2 linked regions of the Saccharomyces cerevisiae S288C genome follow. The protein of the gene in region 2 interacts with the protein of the main gene of each other region in a biochemical or structural test. Each region holds a gene or a part of one and is shown on either strand. Other genes may lie near its edges.

Region 1 (3,202 bases), on a different chromosome or scaffold from region 2:
TACAACAGTAAATACAACAAGCGCCGTACTATCCGCCAGTTTAGCCACCACAGTAACGGCACCGTTCGACACCATAAAAACGAGAATGCAATTGGAACCATCAAAATTTACCAACTCCTTCAATACATTTACATCTATAGTTAAAAATGAAAATGTGCTGAAGTTATTTAGCGGGTTAAGCATGAGGCTGGCAAGAAAGGCCTTCAGTGCAGGTATTGCGTGGGGTATATATGAGGAGTTGGTCAAAAGATTCATGTAAAAAATAGACACATATTTCATTGCAATCTCGCATTCTTCAAAAAAGGTATAAATACGTGTCTTTTTAGTTTCTTTATAGAGTGACGTTGAAGCTTAGTAGTACGTTCATACATACATACATACACACACGGTACAAAAGAAAAATCATATCAATAACAAGGAAGAGAGACTCTAACTATGAAATAGATTGGATGCGTTACAAGTGTTTAAATAAATATAAGAGAGTCGATGGATAAGTGCACTTATTGGCTTTTAGAAATGGCCTTCTCAACTTCTTCAGTAAGTATATCTGTTAGCTTTGTGCCATTTCTTAACGAAACCCACTCCCCATTGAGAAGGTCAAATCTGTTAGGCCCGGACAATGGTGATGCCAACCAAATTTGCTTATTTGGAGGCTGTTTGTTTATTACATACGTTCCAAAAGCTGGAATTTCCAATGTCATTACGCCATGGCTTAGCTCTACATCAGGTATACAATCCGGATGAGCCTCACTCAGTTCTTCTAAGCTATCTAGTAAATGGTCTAGGTAGTCATCTGCCTCTTCATGGTATTTTTCAAGCGGTAAGTTTAACACTTCTTGAGGCACAACTTGACCATCTGTCGAGGATTCTACAAATCTCTTCTGAAAAGTATTTACAGTATGATTCTTTTTATTTGTTACAGCTGGACAAAATCTGGCACGTTCTCCTCCTGCCGCTGCTATCATATATCTTCTGCCCATTACAGAGCTGACTCGAACTAAACTTGCGAGAGACCGCTTAATCATTGCTACACTCTATCTTCTCGCTTAGTTTTTTTTGAAATACTATCTTTCTGGTATTCAGTAGTACGTAACGATTTGTAAGTGTCTTCAAGCGAGGTTGCTTTCAATTAAAAATGCGATTCAAAGAGATCATTTACGGTTACTAATCCCTCATATCCTATAGGGCTATGTGGACATTGTAAGAAACGTGACTTTTCAAATATGATCACTGAATACGGTTTTTTGAAATTTGTCAAGTGCGATGAGTTGTATCTCTAAATCAAGCACCCATGATCTACGTTTAGTAAAAGAAAAGGACGAATTCCCTTAAAGTTCTCGGTGCCTAAGTCAATAAGTCCGGAGCATGAATCTATACGGTTATTTTTTACTTCTCATTATTGTGATTGCTTTCATTGCATTGTTGCCATTGTTTTCTGGCATCGGTACATTCAAACTAACAAAACCGAAATCGTCTGCAACAGCACAGTCAGCGACTGGTAAGCTTGGTAAGAGGGAATATTTGAAAAAAAAACTTGATCATACCAATGTATTAAAGTTTGATCTGAAGGACACGGAGGAAAGCCTTGGCCATGACAGTGCAAGTGCCTCTTCCGCTTCCAGAAAATTTGAAATAGACTCAAAGACAGGCCTTAAAAGACGTGTAATTGGACAGTACAACAAAGATCCAAATGATTTCGATTTCGATATTGATGACCTAATTAACGAAGATGAACTAGATGAACGGAGAGAAGAAGAGAAAAAGTTGAAGAAGTACAATGGTAAGAAAAATGAAGCTTACGAAGGATTTGTATAATAATGGAAGTGATTTTTGCAATTGTCCTACAAAAACTTTAGACATTCGTAACTAGCTAAACAATTGATTTAACGAATAACGTAGACTTTTAATTATTCAATTTAATTATAGTTATTGTTATTTACACAATTACGGATATCGTATTTATAACTTAGTTTACATCTTTACCAGAAATATCTCTATGGTCTTCTGTTCTCTCGAACTTCATCTGCTCTTGACCTTCCTCTTGCTCTTCACCTTCTCCTTGCTCTTGGCTTTCCTTTGGCTCCTGGACTCCTTTTTGCTCCTGCTCTTTTTCATCATCTTCTTCATTATTACTCTGAATAGCTTCCAAATCATCCTTCATCTTCCCAGTTTCTTCATCAAAGTCATATTCGTAAAATAACATAAATACACCGGGTGTTGAAAGGACTTCAGCTTCGTCCACAACGTACACAGTCTCATCAGATATTCTCCACCAACAACCCCTGTATTTTCTAAATGCAATGTAATGACCATAATTATGGGTACCGTAGTGAACAATGACAGAGCGCAATGAATATGTCAATGGAGTGGCTGGAACTGTGGAAAATGACCTAGCATAATTGATAGGTGGAGCTGGTATAACATCTTCCTCATCAGATGATGTTTCTAGTTGATCTTCAACATTGATCTTTGGTTCGTCAAGGCTCACATTGTCGATTTCTTGCAGTTCTTCATTATCTTTTACATTCTCGTTTTCAACATCAGAATGTTCTATGATCCTTTTTTTGATTGTATTCCCTAAAGCATCGGTTTCTTCAATGTACTCATCTTCATCATCGGATGTCACGCCATCGACTTCACCGTTTAGGGGATCATAGTTACTGATATCCTTGGTATGATTGTAATGAGACGCATAGTTCCCCTCTGCGTCATCGTATTCTTTTTCTTCCTCGCTGTCTTCAAATTCCTGCTCGAAGCGTTCATGTAATTTCGTATAGTATTCACCGCCAATGTTTTCATCTTCACTTGAATCTTGTTGCGCAGCTTTTTCCTTTTTTGACATTGGCAAACGAGCATCCAAATTGATTTCATTAATATCACAACACCATGGGGCAAGATTCAACCTTGACTTAAACAATACTTTCGAGTTATTTTTTCTAATCATGTACGTTCTTGGATCAAATACGGATCTGTTGATATGAATGGATAATAATGGTGGAGGTCTTGATATTAAAATCTGCTTAGATTTAGAGCATTTACGTACCATATTTGCTGTATGCAACTTCTTATAATCTTCATCGTCAATAACTGGTTTGGCAAGAACTTCTTCGATTTGATGGACCCTATCTTTTACAGCGTTAATTAACTTTTCTGGGATCGAACCCTCAGGTTTTTTTTCAAATTCTTTCAACTGACCAAATAA
Region 2 (3,124 bases):
AATGGGCCCGTGAATCCGGTGTTCCCTTTCTTGGTGTCTGTCTTGGATTACAAGTTGCCGCTATCGAGTTCGCCCGCAATGTGATAGGCCGCCCAAACAGCAGTTCTACAGAATTTTTGGACGAGACACTACTAGCTCCTGAAGACCAAGTAGTCATATACATGCCCGAGATCGACAAGGAACACATGGGTGGCACGATGAGATTGGGTTTGAGGCCTACCATTTTCCAACCGAACTCAGAATGGAGCAACATAAGGAAGCTTTATGGTGAAGTTAATGAGGTGCATGAGAGACATCGTCATCGCTATGAGATAAACCCGAAAATAGTGAATGATATGGAGTCTCGTGGCTTTATTTTTGTTGGTAAGGACGAGACGGGCCAGCGTTGCGAAATATTCGAATTGAAAGGCCATCCATACTACGTGGGCACTCAATACCATCCAGAGTATACATCGAAGGTGCTGGAACCATCAAGACCGTTTTGGGGGCTTGTGGCCGCAGCCTCCGGCACACTTGGTGAAGTGATCAAGGACATAAATCTAAGCGAGGGAAATGAAAATGAATGAATTGATGCGCTTACTACTTACTTACATACGGTTTTTATTCAAGTATATTATCATTAACATTAGTTGGTTAGACCAATGACACCACAGGCTGGTCTTGGACCGGCATTACCAGTCTTCAAAGATTCTTCAGTGTCACCCTTACCTAAGTCATCTTGGCCGGCGTGGATAACGACGCTTCTGCCTACAACGGAGGTAGGACCGATAAGCTTGATCAAAGAGTCCTTGAAGGAGCCCTTGGCCACACCATTTTCGTCCGTCTTTACGTTACCCATGTCACCGACATGTCTGACTTCGTCAGTTGGAGCACCATGTGTCTTCTTGAAAGGATTGAAGTGAGGACCAGCAGAGACACAACCATTGGTGGCATCTCCAAACTCATGAATGTGGAACCCACGTTCTGCGTTAGGACTGTTACCAGCGATCTCGTAAGAGACAGTGGTTGGCTCGGATTCGGAAGCCTGTTCGAACTTGACAACACCAGAGACACCGGCATCACCCTTTAACACTGCGACTGCTTGAACCATTATAAATTAATTATGTTTTATTTGTTTGCGCGATTGCTTTCTTGCCTGTTTTTCCGCAACATAGTTACAGCTAAACATTTGCCCAAAACCATCTTCTTATATATATATCTGCGATGGCGAGCCCAGCGGAAGGGATGTCCGCTTACTAATTCCGACACACCGGTTTAACCCCCCGGCGTGCTGGGGTGGGTGCCCCTAAGGGAGCGGGTTCTGTACTTCCAGTAAGCGGCATTTGCGCTGTCATCGCCTTATCGAACCCGCTACTGAGATCATGTCCTGAGTGGGTGAGTCGCACGCCCAATCGGCTGCACTTCAGAGATACTTACGTCCAATTTCGCATCATGCCAATATTACCTGTGGAAGTTGAAACTTTTTTTGCAGATGCCGATAATTTTCACATGGATGAGTCGCAGTGTCGTCGTACGTGATGAGGGCAGGCTTGAAAATTATTCTTCGAGCCCAATTCTCTTTACTTATAGGCATGCCATGTCTAATTAGGTAGTCATCTCAGTTTATCTTGTGCAGGGTAGAACCAAAGATAACAGCAAAAGAAAGAGCAAGCAATTATGACCGCACCATTGGTAGTATTGGGTAACCCACTTTTAGATTTCCAAGCCGACGTCACGGCTGAATACCTGGCCAAGTATTCTCTAAAGGAAAACGACGCAATTTTGGTCGATGCCAAATCAGGCGATGCTAAGATGGCTATTTTTGACGAGCTCTTACAGATGCCAGAAACAAAGCTTGTTGCAGGTGGTGCTGCTCAAAACACTGCTAGAGGGGCAGCATACGTTTTGGGCGCCGGCCAGGTGGTGTACTTCGGTTCCGTCGGTAAGGACAAGTTCAGCGAGAGATTGCTTAACGAAAACGAAAAAGCTGGTGTCAAGTCTATGTACCAAGTTCAAAATGATATTGGTACCGGTAAGTGTGCCGCATTAATCACTGGCCATAACCGGTCCTTGGTCACTGACTTGGGTGCTGCCAATTTCTTTACTCCAGACCACTTGGACAAGCATTGGGACTTGGTCGAAGCAGCTAAGCTCTTCTACATCGGTGGTTTCCACTTGACCGTGTCTCCAGACGCTATCGTTAAGTTGGGCCAACATGCTAAAGAGAACAGCAAACCTTTCGTGTTGAACTTTAGTGCTCCTTTCATTCCTCATGTCTTCAAAGACGCATTGGCCAGAGTTTTGCCTTATGCTACCGTCATCATCGCTAACGAATCGGAGGCCGAAGCCTTTTGCGACGCCTTCCAATTAGACTGTGCCAACACTGATTTGGAAGCTATTGCTCAAAGAATTGTCAAGGACTCTCCAGTTGAAAAGACTGTCATCTTCACCCACGGTGTCGAACCAACAGTGGTCGTGTCCTCCAAGGGTACCAGCACATATCCAGTCAAACCTTTGGACTCTTCTAAGATCGTCGACACCAACGGTGCTGGTGACGCCTTCGCTGGTGGCTTTATGGCTGGGTTGACTAAAGGTGAAGATTTGGAAACCTCTATTGACATGGGTCAATGGCTAGCTGCTTTGTCTATTCAAGAAGTTGGTCCCTCTTACCCTTCCGAAAAAATATCTTACTCTAAATAGATTCTTCTTACAATATAATAGAAATAAAATATACTCTACGTGTTCCCTCTAGCTTTTCATTCGTAGACATGTTTACCGCTTGTTCTTAAACCAAATAAGCCACCGTTACCACAATAAGGAAAAGAGGCGCTATAAAGTACAGCTTCAAGAAAAAAGGACAAGCAGCGCTAAGAACAAAATACTCGTTCATCCTCTCCACATACGGCCGTACACAAGCAACAATAACACAATAATATGGACTGGGCAATCAATGTCGCCCATCCACGATTACTTTACAAGGATCCTAAACTTTCAGTAACGTTTATTGTGCCGAGCTTATTTCATATCATTATTGCTTTCGTGTTATTAGGAATATGTGCATCCGATTTTCTTTGCCCCAACGTGGCCCATATATCAGATCCCAACAGCCTTCGATCGAATGGTTCTTTAGTCTCAAAAACGGCGT

The links.
Region 1: the proteins of SOD1 (region 2) and YFH1 form a complex in vitro, tested with the Saccharomyces cerevisiae proteins (one study listed by BioGRID).

What each region holds. Positions count from the first base shown.
Region 1 is NC_001136.10:243,746-246,947, reverse strand, and holds YFH1 (ferroxidase), read right to left. Parts: upstream 1,026-3,202; coding exon 501-1,025; downstream 1-500. Other genes in the region: HEM25 (Hem25p), read left to right, coding at 1-259; EXP1 (Exp1p), read left to right, coding at 1,366-1,815; ubiquitin-specific protease UBP1, read right to left, coding at 1,967-3,202. UniProt on the Saccharomyces cerevisiae protein: Promotes the biosynthesis of heme as well as the assembly and repair of iron-sulfur clusters by delivering Fe(2+) to proteins involved in these pathways.
Region 2 is NC_001142.9:621,925-625,048, forward strand, and holds SOD1 (superoxide dismutase SOD1), read right to left. Parts: upstream 1,091-3,124; coding exon 626-1,090; downstream 1-625. Other genes in the region: CTP synthase URA8, read left to right, coding at 1-566; ADO1 (adenosine kinase), read left to right, coding at 1,657-2,679; ECM27 (Ecm27p), read left to right, coding at 2,914-3,124. UniProt on the Saccharomyces cerevisiae protein: Destroys radicals which are normally produced within the cells and which are toxic to biological systems.